Callithrix jacchus: one gene and its partners. The protein of the gene in region 5 purifies or fractionates together with the protein of the main gene of each other region. This does not show direct contact. Links are inferred from orthologs where the notes say so. Each region holds a gene or a part of one and is shown on either strand. Other genes may lie near its edges. The genes, in order: VAPA, MYO6, GIPC1, GNA13 and ARHGEF12.

Region 1 (4,411 bases), on a different chromosome or scaffold from region 5:
GGACACTATTATTTGGACTGATTGTCAACTTTAGTTTTTTTTTCCTTAAAACAAAATCAACTTTAACTCATATACAATTTTTTTTGGTATTCTGCCTTAATGATAATCGACATTTCAGAATAAATTTTGCAAATAGAAAGAAATCACAGGAAAGGTAAATTTAGAATATGCTTCAAACTTCTTAAGCACTCTATCCTCCCAGGAACTTCAAGGCTGAAGATGCATTCCTCCTGGGTGGCACCATCTTCTGTGAATGCCAGGTTAGTGATTCCAGTAGGCTGTTCCTGGGTGGACTCTGATACCTGGATTGCACATGAAAACTTGGTGCCTGCGTCTTGACTGCTGTTTTGTCTCATTTATTTTCTAGACAAACTGTGCTGCTTTACGGCAGTAGCATCAATCAATATGTCTTTTATTTTGTGGCGCTTCCTAGATATTTAAATTCAGACAGTATCATACAATACAATAAAGGTTTATTTACAGCACATTCGCTTCATTTGACGTTCCTGTACCGGATTACCTTGGCAATCGGCTAAAGATTTGTCAGCAACTTTGCTGCTGGGATTTTTCTCATTTGGTTCAGTTTACTACAGCCTATCATAAGTGATGCAGATGGATTTCTTTTGTAACATGTGAACGTGACAACTGTGTTGGTTTGGGTCCATCATTAATCAAAACTGAAGATTCGTAGGCTCGATGGTGTAGATTTTGACTTTTGTTTCTAGCTTTTGTGTGCTTTGTCATATTTCCCCTGCGACTCGTTTGCTTCCTAGACGGGGTGTGCTTCCTTATCTGATTTTGCATCACTGGAGAGAACTCAGGAAGCAGGAGAGGCTGGATGGGATCATTACAGGGAATGCAGTCTTGCCAACAGAGGGATGGATAGAATTACAGAGCAAACGGACACATCCCCGCCTGTTCTCCACAGGGCAGATTTTATCAGTATATTTCTAACATTGGGAACTCGTTTCCGCCTTCAAAAGTTTTTTCCTTTTTAGCGCAAACTAGACGTGCTCTGAGCCAAAATTAGCGTCCGCGAACCCCACCCCATTCGCCTCAAAAGGACCTCGCTCACCTTCCCGCCCACAAACAGCCACTACTACACTTCCCAGCAAGCACCGCGAAGTACCAGGCCCTCGGCGAAGGCCCCGCCCCACAAGGGGCATGCTGGGAGTTGTAGTGAGTGGGCGCTTCCCCACTACTCCTCCCTAGGCATTCCCACTTGGAAGACCGTGATGCGCTGCCAGAGCAGGTTCTCTAGTTTCGTACTCGTAGCTCAACGTGACAGAGGACTGCGCCTCAAGCCTGCGGCTGCGCATCGCGTCGGTCCCGCGGGCCTTTGCCCCGCCTCTTTCCACACCCGTTCCCTTGACAGCTGGGCTGCGCTTGGAGCCGCGGCGAGCCCTCAGCGCGCAGGCGCAGTAGCCCGGCGCCGCGTTAGGTAGGCCTGGAGGGCGGGACGAGCGCGAGGGGCTCTCGGTCGCCGGGGCGCGCACGTAGGCAACGCAGAGACCATCACGTGGGGCGCCGAAGATCGCAGTGCGCGTGGCCGTGGCGGCTGGTGTGGGGTTGAGTCAGTTGTGAGATCCGGAGCTGCTGACCCAGCGGGTGGCCCACCGTACCCGCGACACAGCGGCAGGCGTCAGGGCTCGGAAGCGGCGAGCCTGGCTCCGTCCTAGAGGTTGGCCGAGCGGGCACCACCGTCGTTCCCCGCCCCCAGCCAGCAAACCGTCGCCGCGGGCGCGCCCCCGCTCTGCGCTGTCTCTCCGATGGCGTCCGCCTCCGGGGCCATGGCGAAGCATGAGCAGATCTTGGTCCTCGACCCGCCCACAGACCTCAAATTCAAAGGTAGGCAGGATGGGGACACCCCCGGGCGGGATGGGGCACGCGGACGGCTGTCGGCGGCGGGGGGCGCGGAGAGCACGTCGGCGGCCGCGGCCCGAGGGAGCGCCCCCTCCCCCACGCCCGGGCGCCTGCCCTTTCCCGGCTGCTGCCTCGCCGCGGCCTCTGCCTGCCTGCCCGGCTCTCAGGCTGGCTTCTTTCCCTTTCGCCCGCCCGCGCTGCAGTGCGCGCGCCGGCCCAGGCGAGGCGGAGGGGAGCCGGGCCCTGGCGCCGCCGCCGCCATCTTGCGGTCCCGCGGGGGCGCCACCCGGGTGTTCGGTCCCGCCCGCGCCGCCGTCGGCCGGGGCCCAAGTCCTTGGCTCCTGAGGCCGACGGCGTGCTTCAGCGGGGCGTGGGTGGGTGGGCACCCGCGGGCGTGCGGTAGGGGCTGCGGCGGGGAGTGGGCTCTGGAGGTGGCGCAAGCTGCGTCCGTCTCCGGTTCCCGCTGTCAGTGGCGCGGGACCCCTCGGGAGTGAGAGCCGTCTCCCGACTCTGGCCCCGGCCCGGGGAGAGTTGGGTGCAGCCGGACTAGGGCTCCGCGGAGGGCGTCTCTCCTCACCTTTCCTCCCTGTTTAGAACTCGGCTGTCAGGTGTAGGGCGCGCTGGGGAGGCGGAGGAGCCCGGGAGGTGCCTGGCGAGGGCTGCCCGGTGCTCTTGGCACGGCCCCAAGCGCGTGCGGGCAGGAGCGATGCGTCAGCCGCGAAAGCAGAGTTGTAGGTTCATAGTAGCGGGGCTTCCTGCCTTCTACGACATTTCAGTGTGCCACCCGCGTGCTTGCTCTTATTTAGCCCTTCAGTTGAGCTCCTCTGCTGAGAAGCCTTCAGTACGTGTGACTTTTGCCTTTACGTTTGCGGTTTCCTACAGACCCTGAGAAGGCTAAGGTCAGCCAGCTCTGGAACTTTGTAGGTTTATTTTGTAGCACTGCCGGTGATAAGTTTTCAGTCTGACTTGGTGATACTGGAACAATCCCAGGGGCTGTTTGATCCGTTTGCTTGTCAATATAAGGTGTACTTTAGGAAAGAGAGTTAGAAACTGGACAGGTTTTTGTTTTTTTCTTGTACTTAAGGAATACTGAAAGAGTGTGAACATCTAATAGAAAGGTTCCTTCCTATCTTTAGTTAAGTGTAAAGTGAGTCCCCTTTTGGAAGTCAGTGTCTTGTAGTTCAGTTTGTTGAATGAGAACAATTTTTGTGAGGTGTATAGCAATTCTAGTGCTAAAAGAAACAGTGAAATCCTTTATTGTTGTGTAACGAGAAATCCCAACTACATTGTTTTCCACAGGAAAAACTTTAGTTTTAGGAATTTAAAATATATTCTGAAATTACGAGATTAATATTGGATAACTGCATTGCAAGTTTTTTAGTGCATTTACAAATTTCTTTTCTTTCTTTCTTTTTTTTTTTTTTTAAATAAAGACGGGGTTTCACCATGTTGGTTAGGCTGGTCTTGAACTCCCGACCTCAGGTGATCCGCCCGCCTTGGCCTCCAAAGTGCTTGGATTACAGGCGTGAGCCACCACGCCCGGCCTATTGAATAGAAAAGTGAGTGAGCTACTTGTTGGGTAAGGATTTGGTTTTAAGACAAGGTGCAGTGAATGTATTTTATTGCAAGTTAATGTATGTTGTGTGATTTTACATAGTTTTAGCTGGGGGAAAACCTTTGAGGAATCGTGAAATGTCCTAACTCAGCCATAATCTTGAGATAATTGAATGTAAACCTCTATGATGTGTGTGTGTGTGTGTGTGTGTGTGTGTATTTCGTTTTTATCTTTTGACTGGCTGTGTTTACAGTGAACGTTTCCTCTACTGGATAACTGTGTAAATTGCCGTTAGGTGCTTACAAGCCTTGACAACCAGTTTTAGGCCATGAAATGTCCACAGAGTTTGAAGGTTTCTCCTTGGGGAAGTTGTTACGTTGCTTTAGTAAGAGACTAGTAATAGTGGAGAAGCAGGTTTAAAAAAAAACAACCAAAAACCCTACACAGTGACTTACTCATATATTTCCTTCTTTGGGGGTATTGGAGAATTATAGCTATGATTATGGAACACATTGTTCTTGTGTTGCCAGTACAAATGATAAGACTAGTAAGGGAAAAAGAGAAAATGTACAAATGGTGTAAGAGAGACACAATCCTGTCTGAGGAAAGAAGCCCTTTCTCTACGTGCCCCATCCATCCCTCCCTTAGGAAGCCTTTAACGAAAAGGCTTGTTTTTCATTTCAGGGAAGGTTTAAGCCCAGAGAGTGGTTGAGTAAACAAACTGTTGTGAGAAAATGCCTGGTACTTAAATGCCCAATAGTTCATTGTGTGTTTCACTTTAAAGATACAGATAATGGGGAGGATTGGGAGGTGACATTTGGTGTTTGATTCCTTTTTAATATTGTTTTAGTCAAAGGCAAATTGTTTGCTTTGATGGAAACCTTCGTATATGCACAGCTCAACACTGAGGAGACTGATTTAGAATCTATAGTCTACTTGTGCTTTATGATTAAAAAAATAATTTGACTTATTCTAAATTACTAAAAATTTTAT
Region 2 (4,161 bases), on a different chromosome or scaffold from region 5:
ATTCTCCTGCCTCGGCCTCCCAAGTAGCTGGGATTACAGGCATGGGCCACCATTCCCAGCTAATTTTTTGTATATATATATTTTTAATTAAAAATGGAGTTTCGCCATGCTAGCCAGGCTGGTCCCAAACTCCTGACCTCGTGATCCGGCCGCCTCAGCCTCCCAAAATGCTGGGATTACAGGCGTGAGCCACCATGCCCAGCCCCTATTTTATTCTTAATATTTTGTTTTAGTTGAAAGCTAAAACATCTTGCGAGACCTCAGTTTTTTTTTTTTTTTTTGTTTTGTTTTGTTTTGTTTCTCCAAGAAAACCGTGAAGCCTTTAAGTATCAGAAATTCTCTTCGGAATCTTCAGAATTCCAGAAGTTTCCAAGTCGCTACATATAAATGTTGCAGAAAAACGTGCAACTCTCATGTGTAAGTAGGCTATCTTTTTTCCCCGGATACATTTAGCATTATAGTCCATTATCACTTCGTTGCCTTAACAGAAGCTGTTTTCATCGTAAAGATGATGTGTTTTCACCATATAATTCAAATTTGCATAGGTACTTCATATTTTAAAAAGTGATTCACAGATATGTCACGTATAAAAACAGTAACATTTAAACGACTGAGAAGGTAGGGACTCTAAAAAGTAAATGCAGCGGCGAGGGTGGGAGTGGGGAGAAGCAAAGGGGTGCGAAATTCACATCTCAAGCCCTCCCTCCTCCAAAGGCCGACTGGAACTTAGTTGTGCAGGAACGTTCCTCCCTATGCAGGGCAGCCCAGCCCAAGCCGGCCAGATCCGGAGCCGAGGTAGCCGCCACACAGCCTCGCTGCAGCCCGGGCGCGGCCACCTGGTCCCTGGGTCCCCAGCGCGGAGCCCCGGACTCCTCGCCCCCTCTCCGAACAACTTTCTCCCTGCTTGAACTGATTCTTGCTGTTGGCAGCCTGCACAGTCCCGGCATCAGCCGGAGAGGACCTGCCTCACTGGGACTGGAAACAGCTACCGCGACGAAGGAGGCCGTTTCTCTGTGCGAGGAACCAGAACTCCCGGCTTGTCCAGGGCAGCCCCTCCCTGCGCAGCAGGGCGCCCACCCCGCCCCAGAGGCTCGGCGCCGCGGGCGGGGCGACCCCGGGGGTACGGCGCCCTCGCTCCCAGAACGCGCGCCCCCTCCCGGCGCGCTCCCGGGGGCCGGCCGCACCGCGGCCCCGGCGCCCCCGCCCCCTCGGGCGCTCCGTAGCCGTGACGTGCACGCCGCGGTGCCGGGGACTCGGCTGGGCGCCGGCCGGCGGGCGGAGACCGACTCGGGATCTGTCCGAGCAGGAAGCCAGCCGCAGCCGGGCCGCTGTCGCCGCCCCGTCCTGCAGCGCGTCCGCGTCGTCGGCCTCTTCGCTCGCCCTCATCTCTCGCCCTCATCACTTCCCACCGCGCCCTTCAGCCTGAGCTGCACGAGTACCTCTGCCGCCGCGCACCTGCCTTCACGCCGGCACCGGTGAGTGTCCCGGAGCCCCCGCTGCGGGGCGTAGGCTCCGGGGTCTCGCTGTTCCCGGCCCGGCCTTGCTCTTGGGCCTCCTCGGGCAGCTCCCGGGCCGACGCGTCGGTTCACCGCCGGACGACGCGGGTGGGAGAAGCAGGTGATGGGTCGGCCCCGGGCGGCGGCGGCGCGCGGTGGGGCCGGGGGTGGTTCTTGTTTCCACAGAAAGACGTTTAGCCTCCTTTCACGGGTTATCAATCACCAAGGTCCCTTTGTGTTTCTTCCCTGGCTCCCAGGTAGAAGCAGAGCACTCAGGTGTCCAACTCGGACTTGGACACTTTGTGATAGTTTTATTTTCTCTTTTGTAAACACGCTTAAAATACAGTGCAGGGAGAGCGCAGTTTGTTCTGAGATGTGAAGATCAAATGATACCATTAATAGTCTAATCATGTAGAAGACCAGATTGAGACTTTGTAAAGCTTTATTCTTTGTCTCTCAGTACCTTGAGTATGTTAATTTACAGGTATGCTACTGAACAAGAACTTTCTTCTGTTAATTTCCAAAAACTCCCTAAAACGATTAAAATGCTCAAACTCTGGTATTTTAATTTTAAATAGGACATAATTTGATGGGGTATCCCTAGAACATCTGAGTTTAGAAGTATTTCCATACAGTTTCAAAAAATTCATTACATCTTATCTAGCATAAAGTGATACCGTGGAAAGATGCTTAACTCCTAATTTATGAGTATTAGTGAGAAAACGAGAAGAACTGCCCTAACTTAATAGACTAACTGTACGGGCTAAGTAAGTCTCATTTTTTTTTTTTTTTTTTTTTTTAATGCTCTGGTGGTATAGATGCAGTCTATCTAGTCAGAATTTGAGAGTTTTAAAATTAAGGTTCCTTTTTTGAGACGGAGTCTCACTCTGTCGGCTCACTGCAACCTCCACCTCCCAGGTTCAAGTGATTCTACTGCGTCAGCGGCTGGGCTTACAGGCGTGCACTACCGCCCAGCTAGTTTTTGTATTTTTAGTAGAGATGGGGTTTTGCCATGTTGGCCAGGCTGGTCTCGAACTCCTGACCTCAGGTGATCCACCCACCTCAATCTCCCAGTGTGCTGGGATTAGGCATGAGCTACCGCACCTGCCCTAGAAATTAACATTCTTAAGATTTAGCTGAAACTTATCTTCACAACATAAAACATGAATCTTGAACTTGGACTTGTAGTGGTCATGGTACAAAGGTTGGCGGCAAAGCAGCATTTCCTGTACAAATTAACTGAGCTTCCTAGATGTCTCAGGTTGTGGTTTTCCAACTGGAGAATGTTTAGTGAAAAAATTACCTCTGATCGGAGTCACGGCACGTAAAAAAAAAAACAAAAAACTTAACTGTGTCTTTTGCCTTTAATTGTAGAAACCGCCACAAATGTTACCAAGTGGACTATAACTAGAGCTTGAAACCATGCAGCCTTTCACAATAGCTCGCTGACTTTTATATATCCAGCTCGTTTTGAGTATTTTTACGTTAGGCAGGAATTACATCCACATCGGTAAACAAGTCATTGTAGTCGTATGTACATTTGCCCATTACTTTTGCATTTTTTGTGTGTGACATGCTGTTTATCATTCTCCATCTTTGTAAGTTACATTATTGTTTTCAGAAACTATTGTAAATGGCAGTAACAGAAGTATGAATGACATTTAAGGAAATATGTTAAAAACTGTATAATATATAAAACTATATATGATATACATATATATTCTTGGTTAGTGCCCAGAAACATGAGCAAGAAAAATGTAATGAACAATTATAATATTTAATGTAAATTAATGCAATTAAATATTGTATTAAAAACAAAAGATTGTAAATCATAACCAGTAGAGCTTATCTGAAATGGATTTTTTTCCTATTTATGTTTACGTGATCAAGTTTTAAAATAACAGTGACCAGGAAATCCGAGAGGCTGAAGGCTCTTTTCTCATCCTGTTGTGACTTTGCCTGGAGTCTGTGGTGTATCATGTAGCCCATTGTTTAGACAATTGGGCTGTATCTGGCTTCCAAAATGTAGCTTTCTTTAGAAAGTTTTTTAGAAAGTTTCAAAGATTTTGACCATGTGAGGTTTGAATAGATATATACATCCAAACATTTTTTAAAAATTAACCCATTTTAACTTTGTTGACAGTTGAGGCTCCGTTTTTGACATGTAAAATGTCAGTTTTAAGAAGAATTTAACTTCTGTACAGTTTTCATTTTTATATATTAAAATATCTAAAAATAAAATATTGAAAAGTGTTATAACTTAAATAAATCTCATAGAGTTTATTTATTCATTTTTTTTTTTTTCCCTGAGATGGAGTCTTGCCCTGTCACCCAGGCTGTGTAGTGTCATGATCTCCGGTCATTGAAACCTCCACCTCCTGGGTTCAAGGGATTCTCCTTCGTCGGCCTCCCAGGTAGCTGAGATTACTGGTGGCCGCCACCACGCCTGGCTAATTTTTATATTATTAGTAGAAATGGGGTTTCACCATGTTGGCCAGGCTGTTCTCGAACTCCTGAGCTCAAGTGATCTGTCCGCCTTGGCCTCCCAAAGTGCTGGGATTGCAATCGGAGTTTAATTATGATACCCATAATGAGATATTTCATAATGATTTATGAACTGGCCCTTTACTAGTATAAGATTATTGCACATTTGTTAGTCACCTGC
Region 3 (4,150 bases), on a different chromosome or scaffold from region 5:
AGCAGGGTCTCAGCGCTTAGAGGCTTCCAAGAACTACAGTTCCCAGAACACGCAGCATTCAGTTGCTGTCCAAGTGGCTGGGTTTGAACTAGAACAAGGAAATCTCGCCTGTCCTGGGAACTGAGCGTCCTGGCCTGTTCCAGGTGCGTTTGTGACTCATGTTTCTTGGATCTGTGCCCTCCTGAGAAATCCCCGTTCCTTATAAACTACCTGGTGCATTTGTCCACACAGGTTTGCTGAGAACCTGTTATGTGGCAGCTTGAGATGGGAGTGAGGGGTTGACGAGAGAGACTCAGTCAGCCTCCATCCTCACAGTCAGATGGAGACAGATCCATCAAAGGTCGGAGGCTGGCTGGGTACCCTCTGTGATCTAGCACGTAGTAAGTGACCAACAAATCAACAAGCAAATAAAAACTATCTCACTCTTGTCTTTCATTCCATCTTGCCTTTCCACACTGATTTACCAGCTCCCACGATGTTGCACTATCCTAAAGCGTGCTGTAGCTCTCTGGCTTTTGCACACTCTGTTATCTCTACTGGAAGCATATTCGGCTTACTGGCTCACGCGTTTGTCTGTAGGACAGAGCCTGGCACGGAGCAGAGGGCACATTAAATATTTGATGAGTGAGTGAATGAATGAATGAATGAATGCCTTTCTCCATTGTACACTCCAGGAAGCAGGGACGCTCGGGACCCTCCGTATTTATCTCTGCCCCCCGCCCGCCCCTAGAGTATGAATGCACTTTTTATCAGCTCCGAGGATGGCCAGGCTGGGGCAGAGGCCGGGCGGGGAACTGGGTTAGGAGCTGCCATCGACCCCCCACCCAGGCCTCCTAAACGGTCCACTTTCCCGGACGTCGGGAGTTCGCATCCTGTCCCCGAAACTTGGCCTCGGTCACCTGACTCCCCCGCCCCTCACCACCCAGGGCACCCTAGACGGACATTCAGCCAACAGCACGTGGTTCAGGGGCCCCAGCTTCCTTCCCATTGGCCGCTCGCCTCCTTCCTTCCCCGCGATTGGCCGGGACCCAGCCGCAGCTCCGCCCCCCCTCCTCAGCCCTCTGGTGGTACAGCCCGCCGCGGCTCAGGCGGGGCGGAAAGGTCCACTGCTTTGCGGCGCAGGGGGAGCCGGGAAGAGCCGGGTGAGGCGGAGGGATCCCTCTGGAATGTTTCCGTCGGGTCCACCCGAAGCGGGAGGCGCGGATTGGCCGCGAGCTCCGGAAGACAGCCGCTAATTGGTCTTCCGCGGGCGTCGGCCCCGCCCCCCTAGGCGCCACTGCGGGAGAGGCCCAGGCAGGAGTTTGCGGAGGGCCGAGCCGGGTGCGCGCGGGGAGGCGGTGGCGGCGGCGCAGGTGAGTGGCCCCGGCGGGAGGGATGTGTCCACTCTGGGGGCCCCGGATGTCGCGGGCCCGCGAGGATCCGGCGGATCGTGCAAGGTGGGGCGGGCCCCGGGGACGCGACTGGAGGTCTAGGCTGAGCGCGGGGATGCCGGAGGCCCCTTCCTGGGGGGAGCGAGGGTGGGGGTGGTGGGGGCAGCTCCCTTCCTGCTGGAGGGCAGAGGGCAAACGCCTCCCAGCACCAGGTAGGGGTCTCCGGGCTTGCCCCTCCCCCCTCCCCCTTCTAGACGGCCCCCATCCCGGGGGGGACAGGCGTGGGGTCGATGTTTCTGACCCTTTCCTGTCCATTTTCCCTGAGCGAACCGCGTCTGAACCCTCCAGGGCCTGGGGCACGCAGTGAGGACCAGGGCCTGGATAATTATCATCATGAAAAACTCCACCCCAGCTAGCATTTATGGAGCGCTTCCGTGTCAGGCATTTACCATGCGGATCATTGAATCAAAACACTTCATGGGAGGTGTTGTGCCTTCTTGTAAAAAAGGTGAGGCAGCAGGCTCAGAGAGGTGGAGTGACTTGCTCAAGGTCACACAGCTAGTAACTGGCACATCTGGGGCTGGAACTCATGCCCCCAGGGTCCAGAACTGGAGTCTCAGCCACTAGACTTGATACCCACTGGCTCCATAGTTCAGTTGTTGCTGAGCAGCTCCAGCCCCTACCCCTCCCACCCCTACCTCATACTCATCATCAGGGCCACACTTGTTGGTCTTTTGTTTCCTTCCCCCCCACCCCCACAACCCCCAAAGATCACCAGATACCAGCCACTCAAACAGGAAGCTGCCCTCATGTCCCTTCTACCCTGAGCTGGAGAGGGCAGGTTTGACTACCTGGGTCCAGAGAAGAGTGACATCTGCAGGGGCCCAGGATGCTGGGGTCCTGGGCCTGCTGGGTCCCCCCTGGCAACCTGGGCCAAGGCTGAGCAGTAGGCGTTCTCCAGGGAAACACCCAGGAGCCGGTTTTTCAAGAGTGAATCAGAGGCCTCTCTCCCTCCTCTCCAAGGCAACACGGTGTGGGAAGGGGGAGCCTGGGCGTGATTTCCCCCTTCCCCTAGCTTCTGTGTGCTCCCAGGAACCCCTTTCCCTCCTCCTGCCGACCACACTGTGTTTCTGGATGGCTGTGGGGTTGCGAAGTTTCAGGCCCTTCCCAGGATGAGGGGGCCGGGATGCCGAAATTCCAGCCCAAACAGTTAATATCCAGGTCGAAGTTTCTCTTCTTCATCTCTGCGTTCAGGTGTGAGGGGAGCCAGGGAAAGTGGGGAGTTAGTAACCCCACAGTAGGCATGTTTGGGGGGCTGTTTTGAGGATGGAGGTTTGCAGAGAGCAGTCAGAATGAGGACCTGAGACACATTCATTCATTCTACAAATATTTCAAGTGAGCACCTACTATGGGCACGTGCTAGGCACTGTTCTTGGCACAGAAAATAACATAAATGAACAAAAATTCCTGCTCTTGAGGAGTTGGCACTCTGAAAGGAAGCAGCCAACAGCAAGTTATCAAGTAAATAAAGAAGATAATTTCAGATGACACTAAGTGCTATGAATAAATGTGTGGGTAGTACTATAGAGGGTTGTGGGCAGGGGGTGCCAGTGCCAGGAAGATCAGATAAGGGGGTTGGGCAAGGTGGCTCACACCTGTAATCCCAGCACTTTAGGAGGCCGAGGCAGGTGGATCACTTGAGGTCAGGAGTTTGAGACAAGCCTGGCCAATATGGGGAAGCCCTGCCTCTACTAAAAATTAGCCAGGCGTGGTGGTGCATGCCTGTAATCCCACCTATTTGGGACACTGAGGCAGGAGAATCACTTGAACCTGGAAAGTGGAGGTGTCGGTGAGAGGAGATCGTGGCACTGCACTCCAACGTGAGCAACAGAGCAAGACTCCATCTCAAAAAAAAAAACAAAACAAACAAACAAAAAAAAACAGGTCGGGCAAGGCCAAGGTCTTTCTTTAGGCTGGACCAAGCTTGGAATCTAGTTGGAGCAGATGAACCCAGAGCAGGGATTCTGCAGGGGTTTGTGGGTCACAGTAAGGAGTTTGCAATTTTTCTTCCAGAAGGTGGGAAACCGTTGTAAAGTTTCAGTCAGGGCAATGATGCCATCTCATTTATGTTTTAAAATAGAGACATGAAGTTAAATGACAGCCTGAGGCTGGAAGACAAGAGTTCTGCCAGGGCAGCATGCAATTAAGTTCCTGGGCCTGAGCTGTCTGTACCACAGGGGAGGTTCCAACATGCTGGGGCAAGCCTGGGAGGCTGCCTGGAGGAGTGAGCCTGGAGTAGGTCTTGGCAGGCAGAGAGGGCGGGGATATTCCTGGGCAGGGCAGGGCAGAGAAGGCGATACCAGTAATAATGACAACAGCTTCCTTACATGGAGTCTGAGGCAGAGTATAGATGGGATACGTGGGCAATCTCTTTGGATTTCCATAACCACCTTGAGAGTGACAGGAATTCTACCCATTTTTCAGATGAAGAAACTGAGGCCCTGTGAAGTGAAGTGACCTGCCCACAGCCACACAGCTGGTAAGTGGCAAGGGTGGGATTTGAACCCAGGCCATGAAGCCTCTTATGGCTGTGGCAGGCAGATTCATTAATCACTCACTTTCCTCCCTGCTGTTAATCCTCACTCACGGGTGGGGACACAGAAGCCAGCATGAACCAGGGCAGTGGGTGTGGACAGAGAGAGAGTAGGGAGGTTGGGAATCTTGGTCAGGATGTAGGGATCTTGGAAGTTTGGATCTTGGTACAGATGGCAGTAGTAATA
Region 4 (4,188 bases), on a different chromosome or scaffold from region 5:
CCTTCTCCCAAAATGGAGACCAACATCAAAAACTTCTCAGAGCTTAAAAAAATAACAGCCACTCACTGTCTTAAAAGTAGAGCCTTGGAAAACAAATACTATTAGCACAATTGCTCTTTCTGAAGGACTTTCAACATGTTCCAATTTATAAAATAACTTCTGGGGTAGAAGGCAGTCAAAAAAGAACCAAACTCAAGAAGGAAAAGAACTTATGCTGCATAGACCGCTGTCCAAGCATGGAAGAAAATAGATACAACCAAGATTTCATGAACTTAAAAGATGTTCACTTATGAAACACTAAGAACCAAGTATTCTAGCTCTGTGTTCTGTTATCTCCTTCGGCACCCTAACCCAACGTTGAGTCTTCTAGGAACATTCAAAATTTAAAAACTTCTACCAGCCCATGCTTCAGTTCAGTTTAACTCACAGGACAGCCTTCAATTTCCCTAAAAGCAAGATCAACTGCAAAATAATATAAAATTGAACTCCAGCTCACAGAGGTTAGTTCAAGCTTGCTTTTTCTATCACTGATCTATTGTTTTTATTACCTTTGATCCATCTGAACAGTCACTTGGCTAGTAGGAAGTCATTTGTTTGAATAACTGAAAAACTGGTGTTTTTTAGTTTTTTGTTTTTTAATAGGGATGAGGTCTGGCTATGTTGCCCAGGCTGGTCTGGAACTCCTGGGCTCAAGCCATCCTCCCACTCTGGCCTCCGTGCTGGGACTGCAGGAGTGAACCACCACACCCAGCCTGAAAAAGCTGTTTTATTGTCAATTTTCATGTCAACTAAAAAACACTAGATTCCTGATAACTTACTTCATCTCATAATCAATGCTCAAAGTAGATCACACTTAACAACTCAGTGTACATTAAGAACGAGGTGTTTACCTGGCTCACAATCAGTTAACAAGTTGATGCTATTCATTAACATAATTCCTTAAGTTCAGCTGCATCAGGATACAAAGGTACCTTCGATTAAGGACTAAGGCAGAGTCTGCAGCCTTGAAAGAGACCTTAATTAGTTTTGTGCTAAACATTACAGCAGGGTAAATACAACTGTTCTTTATAGTTTAACTGCAGAGGTACTAGGTCTTCTAGGCTGTGGTCTGTGAGCTGCTGGCCTAGAGATTCTCTAGTCATTACTCCACAATGCCTGCCTCTTCAGGCAGTTTTCCTTTACCCAAACGCTGGGAGGGGAGGAGTGGGAGTGACATGAAAAAAACCTGCAATCTGTAGCAAGCTCCTGAACTGCTCCCTAGATAAAATAAAATCCAGATGCACGTGAAGTATCAGGCTCTGCACCTGAATTCTGCCAAAATGCCTTTTCTATAGAACATACATGACACACAGAAAAATGAGTATCTTTCAAATGACAAAATAAAAACCATCTTTTCGATTCTTTTGAATGCCCAGAAATAAACAACTTGTTTATTTTTCCACTTAAAAACAAAATTTAATTTTAAAACTACTGTCAATAAAGAGCAGGGCCAATTATCTAACTCAACACTCATTCATTGTCTTCATCTGTACAGGATCCACATGACTTTTAAGCCAGTCTTCTTACAACTACAACATTTCATCTAAATAGAAGTAGTGGCACTCCCTTCCCGCCAGCCCTCAGCTACTTGGCGAAAAGGAGAGTGGAGCGTGCTGCACAGCGATTATATGCAAACATCCTACCTGACAGTGACAGTGGGGCGAAAAAGGGCAGATGCTACTTTTTTAGACTAACCGTATGGGTCTACTCTCTCCTGATTCCAGTACAGTCAACCTGACACTCTCAAGTTTCATACCCTTGCCCAAAAGGAGGCTGCCACCCTACGCCCTTGACAAGAAGGCAAAAAGTTCCCTTACTGCGACGGTTCCAGAACTTGGAGGCGGTCAAGGAAGCAGGGAGTTGGGAGCGCATGCGACCCCATGTGACTCGGGTCACTCAGCCGGGATAGCGAGGTTCGGCCCACATCGCCCGAGCCGGGAATGGGGGTGCAGGGGCTGAGGCTGCTCTAGGGTCTTCCTGCCTCATCCGCAGCGGGGAGGACGAGAGAGGTCTCCCATACCCCGAGACACCCAGTTCGCCTCACTTCCCTCTCGCAGGGGGCGAGACCAGGGGCGCGGTGGGGGGTGAGGGAATGGCCGTGACGCCCACCGAGGAGACAAGGGGGAGAACAGGGCGCCCCCGAGCATCCTCTCGCCTGGGGGACGAGGGCACCCCGGGCGGGCAGGGCCAGTGCCCGGGGCGCGCCCCCTTCCCGCCAGCACGCCCGCCAAGCCCGGTCCTCCGCCAGCGACGGAGCGGACGAGGGCGGTGCCCGGCCCCGCGCCCGCCGCCGCCCCAGTCCCCCGGCCCCCACAGCCGGGGCCCCCGTTCCCGGCCCGGCACCTTTGATCACGTTGCTGTAGATGGTGGGGCGGAACTCCTCCCGCGCGCGCTGGTCGAAGTCCTGCCCGTGGATGATCCGCATCTGCTTTAGGAAGGTGGACTTGCCGCTCTCGCCCGCGCCCAGCAGCAGGATCTTCACCAGCCGCTTCACGTAGGTCTTCTCCCGGGACAGGCATTTGTCGATCTCCTTGGACTTGCGTTGCTGCTCGGCCTCACTGCTAGTCAGCAGGCAGCCGGGGAAGCACACGGACAGCACCGACCGCGACGGCAGGAAGTCCGCCATCTTGCCGCCGCCGCCGCCGCCTCGGCGGGCCCCTCCGGCTCCCTCCACCTCCTCCTCGGGCGGCGGGCGGCTCTGGCACCACGGCTCGAGGGCGGGGAGCGCAGCGGCGGCCCGAGCGCGCCCAGGGAGGGAGGGAACCAGCGAACTGACTCGCAGGGCGGGCCGGGCAGGGCGGGCCAGGAGAGCGGGGGAGGGAGGGAAGGAGGGCGGACCCGGCCCGGGAGGGGCGGTGGCCCCGGCGCGTGCGCGCTCCCGCCGCTTCCCGGGGCGCGCTCGCACGCCGCGGCAGCTCCCTCGCCTCCCGCCCTGGGCGGCGAGTCACGCGCTTGCTGTCTCGCTCCGGTGCCCGCACTCGCTGCCGCCGCCGGGAGCGCGCTGAGAGGGCTGGGGAGCCGCGGTCACGTGGGCGGGGCGGGGGAGTCTAACTTTCTGTTTCCCTTTCGTGGTCTGCGCCCACTTGTGGGCAGAACGGCTCCTTCCCCTGGGCTTGGAGGCCGGAGACCAGGTACCGGACGCGGCTCCTTGGGCTCCCACTTAGCCGCCCTTTCTCCCGCGTGCGCCTGCTGCCCACTGCCACCGCCCACCGGACCCTTTTCGAGGCCACGGACTCGAAAGTTATTTGAACAGAACAGCCGGCGTGAGCCTGGCATGCCTTCGGTGCATTTTCTTTATTTCATTTTTTAATTTATTTTTTATTTTTTTTGAGGTGAAGTCTCTCTGTCACCCTGGCTGGAGTGCAGTGGCGCTATCTTGGCTCATTCCACCTCCCAGGTTCGGCCTCCCGAGTAGCTGGGATCACAGGGATTACAAGAGTGTGCCATCATGCCCTGCTAATTTTTTGTATTTATTTTTAGATACGGGGTCTCCCCCTATGTTTCCCAGGGTGGTCTTGAACTCCAGAGCTGAAGTGATCCTCCAGTCTCACCTCCCACAGTGTAGGGATTCCAGACGGAGCCACTGCTCCCTGGCCTGGTGTGTTTTCATAAGGTGACTCCCTTGACCTTCTACTCTCCGAATCCCAGAACAGTAACCAGACATCATCCGCCCACACTTGCAGTTCTTTCTGGCATTTTCAGACCCTGCCAGCCCCGCCCCCCTTACCAGGGGAAAGAACTGGAGTTGATGTTCACCGGAGACGTGCTACTAGGGGCTCTTAATGGCTCAGTCATGTGCATTCCACCTGGGCTGTGATGTGGCTTCGGGGACGCTTGGCCAGGCTGGAATCAGTGAGTGGCAGCAGGAGGGTGAGGTCATGGTGAAAATCCCCTACACCGGACACTGTGATGCAGGCTATTCCCAACAAGGAAGCAGATACACAAACACCAGGAGGAATGGGAGCATGCAAATTTTAGGTTTCCTGCCAGATTACAGAGGATGTGACCCGTCAGGGGACTTTTTTTCTGTCTTAGCAGCGGATTCAGGCCAGGACACCTGAAAGGCCAGGAGACAAGCCACAAGTGACAGCTGTGGGTTGGCAGAGAAACTGCTTAACCCGCACCTTTCAAAGCCAACCTCTTCATTCT
Region 5 (3,620 bases):
AAAATACAATACAGAGAAACCTTAATACTGTCTGGTTTATGCAGGTTCCAGCAGTTTAACAAACTTCACTTTCGAGCCTTCTGTGTTTTAGTATAACACTGCTCTAAGTGCTGTGTATTTTGCTTAACAGATGATCTCTGTAGTTTATGGGGATTTTTTCTGATTCTTGCCTGAATGCTTCATTTTAAAAGTTAAAAGTTTTGTTTAGATGTACTCTATGTTTTCTATTCCATTGGACAGACAGAGATTTGGGATTAGAATCTACCTTAATATCATCAAAACCTCAGCCTCATTCACTGAGCACCTCTGGAAAATCAGAGGTACGTGATCTCTTTGTGGCTGAGAGACAGTTTGCAAAGGAACAACATACAGATGGGACACTAAAGGAAGTTGGAGAAGATTATCAAATCACAATCCCAGATTCACACCTGCCTATTTCAGAAGAACGGTGGGCATTGGATGCACTAAGAAACTGTAAGTTTTTATTCATAACTTATTACAGATACTTATTAAGTATCGCACTCATTTGCCATCCCTACAATATGTGGATTTATCAAACTCCACTTAGTCTTCTAGTTTTATTGTGGAGATTATAGTATTCTCTGCAATGGCCCATGCCACAGACACAAATGCACATGCCACTCTATTAGCTTCCGCCCCTCAGCTGTTTTGAGAATCACTGTTAGAATGGGAGGACAGCATATGTCTCAGTTGTATTGAGGTGGAAAAAAGGCTGCTAACAATTGCTCTGGCTGTAGAGAACCATTTGAAATTTTTAAACCAGGGTATGCCTCAAGGTATGAAGAAAGATTAATCTGGCTAAGAGCTGTGGAAGGATTTGAATAGAAAGAGTTCTGGAATGGTGTACTTACTAAATAAACTATTAGAGTAGGCTGGCCTGAGACTAAAAGAGTTTGGACTAGAATGGTATCAAAAGGAATAAGAAGAAAGTGAGAAGTCAGCAAATGCTTAAAACAACTGACTTGTTTGGATGTGAGGACAAAGGAAAGGGACTATTTAGAGACAATTTCATTAATCTTGTCAGAAATAAGAGTCAAAAAAGGACTACCGCTGCTTCCCCTACCTCCTTCCATTGTACTTTCTTTTTTCTTTTTTTATAACTTAGTAGAATTATAGGCTCACGTTTAAAGAATGTCAAGATTAAGCTAATGACTGACAAAACAGTAAAGAGTGGGTGACTAGTAGGAAGTTAGTTTTAGGAGTGAAACTTTAGGGAGAGGTTAGGAAGAGAGATTTGAGCATCAGAGCCAGGGGAATTCCTAGCATCTCTCGGAAGTGATTGTAGAGCAGCAGGACAGAGGATCAGGGACCTAAACGGAGCTTGTTTACCTAAAGAAACATAAGACACATTAAGCTAGTGATGAAAGCAAAGAATTAGTTATTTAAAACCTACATTATTCTCTCTTACATTTCCCTGAATTAACAGTCTTAATGATTTCTGATGGTTTGACTAACATTGTCCCAGTAACTCTATCATTGTCTGGGTGACGTCATAGCATACACTTTGCCCATTCAAAATTAAATTGGTTCTTATTTTCAATAAATGTTGTATGTATCTTGAGAAATCAGAGGAAATAATATGCATATAGGGTCTGCATCTGGAAAGGGCAGAACTTTTAGTTTTTTCTCTCTAGCTTAACACAGCCTTTCAGCATTCTTAAGAAGTACCTTTAGGGTATTTTTCTAGTTATGTAGAAGAAAAAAATAGAGGCATGATATTGGTTATTCAGGAGTTCTAAATAGGAGTACCTCCCCCCATTTAGAATGCTTAGATCTTTTCAAGTTTAGTTTAATGTTAAATCTTCTCTAAAAGATGGTGCTCTATTTCATTTTCAAAACAAAATGAAAAATGATTTTACAAAATAAAATGATTGTATGAAATTAATAATTAACATTTTAATGAGTCATTAAAGATACTTTTAAAGATAATTGCTAATTTAATTCTTGCAGCCCGAGGTTATAGTTGTGAATATGCTTTTTCCCCCCTTCCTTCCTATATCATTTAGTGGGTTTGTTGAAGCAGTTGCTGGTACAACAGCTGGGTTTGGCTGAGAAGAGCACTCAGGAAGACTGGCAACATTTCCCAAGATACAGGACGGCCTCTCAGGGGGCACAGACAGACAGTGTCATCCAGAACTCTGAAAATATTAAGGCCTGTCATTCTAGTGAAGGACATATGCCCTTTAGAACTGGAACTGGTGACATTGCAACTTGTTACAGTCCACGGACTTCAACTGAATCTTCTGCTCCACGGGATTCAGTGGTATTGCCACCCCAAGATAGCCAGGCAAGTAACATTTTAGTAATGGACCACATGATTATGACCCCAGAGATGCCTACCACAGAGCCAGAAGGGGGTCTTGATGACAGTGGAGAGCACTTTTTTGATGCCCGTGAAGCACATAGTGATGAGAATCCATCAGAACGTGATGGAGTGGTAAACAAGGAAGAGAAGGAGGTTAATTTACGCATCTCAGGCAAGTATCTTTCACACTTAAACTTTGATTTTGATCATTGTTAACTGTCCTGTATGTTGAAATGGCTGTTATGTTGGTATCAAGGCGTGTGTGTGTGTGTGTGTGTGTTCACACACCTGCAGTATTTATTTATTCCTTTATTTGATAAATACTGAATCCGCTCTGTACCAGACCTCATCCTAGGTGCTGGGAGTTATAGCAGTGAATACAATAAATAAGTAAACAAGTAATTAGACTTCGGAAGTGTTAGGAAGAAACCTAAGTCAGACTAAGGGACAGAGTAATGGAGGCAAACAGGGTGACCAGGGAATAGGACCTCTGACGAGATAGCATTTGAGCAGAGACCTGAATGAAATGAGGGAATAAAGCCAAGTGGGTGGGTACATGAGAGCATAGTGTTCCAACAGAGAACAGAATGGGGCAGAGGCTTTGTGTCAAGAGCAAGCTTGTTGTGGTGATTGAACACTGGGTGAGTGAGACAATGGCAAGAGATAGGGCAAGAGAGGTGTTTGGCAGGGAAAGTGGTGGCAAGATCATTTAGGCACTGTGGTTTCCAGCTTTAAACCTTTGAAATGCTAACTAAATGAAATCTGTCAGAAATTACCATGAAAGTTTGCCAAGTTTAGCTTTAACCTGAAGTGAGGAAATTCTGATGTACTTGAAACTAAACTCAGGAATTAAAGGCTTTTCCCTCTTTAATAACTTTTCAAGTTGAAGTTGTCAGCACACTATGCTATTTCTGTTTTCTAATGGCAGCACTGGTCTCATCAAACTCTTCTGTCTCTATCCGTAGGAAACTATTTGATCCTTGATGGCTATGACACAGTGCAGGAGAGTTCCACAGATGAGGAGGTTGCTTCCTCACTTACCCCGCAGCCCATGACAGGCATCTCTGCTGTGGACTCCCCCCACCAGCAGCAACATTCTCCTCAGAATGCTCACTCTGATGGGGTAGTTTCACCATTCACCCCCGAATTTCTGGTCCAGCAGCGCTGGGGAGCTATGGAGGATTCCTGTTTTGAGATCCAGAGTCCCTCCTCTTGTGCAGATTCACAGAGCCAGATCATGGAGTACATTCATAAGATAGAGGCTGACCTTGAACACTTAAAGGTACCTCATGCT

What was found.
Region 1: the proteins of ARHGEF12 (region 5) and VAPA purify together in Homo sapiens (affinity purification with mass spectrometry; 5 studies listed by BioGRID and IntAct, counting the BioPlex papers as one, with this or other methods). This does not show direct contact. The link is inferred for Callithrix jacchus from reciprocal best matches to the Homo sapiens genes ARHGEF12 and VAPA.
Region 2: the proteins of ARHGEF12 (region 5) and MYO6 purify together in Homo sapiens (affinity purification with mass spectrometry; 4 studies listed by BioGRID and IntAct, counting the BioPlex papers as one, with this or other methods). This does not show direct contact. The link is inferred for Callithrix jacchus from reciprocal best matches to the Homo sapiens genes ARHGEF12 and MYO6.
Region 3: the proteins of ARHGEF12 (region 5) and GIPC1 purify together in Homo sapiens (co-immunoprecipitation; 4 studies listed by BioGRID and IntAct, with this or other methods). This does not show direct contact. The link is inferred for Callithrix jacchus from reciprocal best matches to the Homo sapiens genes ARHGEF12 and GIPC1.
Region 4: the proteins of ARHGEF12 (region 5) and GNA13 purify together in Homo sapiens (affinity purification with western blotting; 3 studies listed by BioGRID). This does not show direct contact. The link is inferred for Callithrix jacchus from reciprocal best matches to the Homo sapiens genes ARHGEF12 and GNA13.

What each region holds. Positions count from the first base shown.
Region 1 is NC_133514.1:53,009,206-53,013,616, reverse strand, and holds the start of VAPA (vesicle-associated membrane protein-associated protein A), read left to right. Parts: upstream 1-1,507; 5' UTR 1,508-1,769; coding exon 1,770-1,848; intron 1,849-2,440; exon of another isoform or gene 2,441-2,712; intron 2,713-4,411. UniProt on the Homo sapiens protein: Endoplasmic reticulum (ER)-anchored protein that mediates the formation of contact sites between the ER and endosomes via interaction with FFAT motif-containing proteins such as STARD3 or WDR44.
Region 2 is NC_133505.1:80,986,534-80,990,694, forward strand, and holds the start of MYO6 (unconventional myosin-VI), read left to right. Parts: upstream 1-1,277; 5' UTR 1,278-1,475; intron 1,476-4,161. UniProt on the Homo sapiens protein: Myosins are actin-based motor molecules with ATPase activity. Unconventional myosins serve in intracellular movements. Myosin 6 is a reverse-direction motor protein that moves towards the minus-end of actin filaments.
Region 3 is NC_133523.1:13,277,118-13,281,267, reverse strand, and holds the start of GIPC1 (PDZ domain-containing protein GIPC1), read left to right. Parts: upstream 1-1,303; 5' UTR 1,304-1,436; intron 1,437-1,718; exon of another isoform or gene 1,719-1,878; intron 1,879-3,854; 5' UTR 3,855-3,909; intron 3,910-4,150. UniProt on the Homo sapiens protein: May be involved in G protein-linked signaling.
Region 4 is NC_133506.1:124,266,815-124,271,002, reverse strand, and holds the start of GNA13 (guanine nucleotide-binding protein subunit alpha-13), read right to left. Parts: upstream 2,818-4,188; 5' UTR 2,666-2,817; coding exon 2,383-2,665; intron 2,082-2,382; exon of another isoform or gene 1,912-2,081; coding exon of another isoform or gene 1,857-1,911; intron 1,149-1,856; exon of another isoform or gene 934-1,148; coding exon of another isoform or gene 891-933; intron 1-890. UniProt on the Homo sapiens protein: Guanine nucleotide-binding proteins (G proteins) are involved as modulators or transducers in various transmembrane signaling systems.
Region 5 is NC_133511.1:20,126,997-20,130,616, forward strand, and holds part of ARHGEF12 (rho guanine nucleotide exchange factor 12), read left to right. Parts: intron 1-240; coding exon 241-474; intron 475-2,027; coding exon 2,028-2,498; intron 2,499-3,291; coding exon 3,292-3,608; intron 3,609-3,620. UniProt on the Homo sapiens protein: May play a role in the regulation of RhoA GTPase by guanine nucleotide-binding alpha-12 (GNA12) and alpha-13 (GNA13). Acts as guanine nucleotide exchange factor (GEF) for RhoA GTPase and may act as GTPase-activating protein (GAP) for GNA12 and GNA13.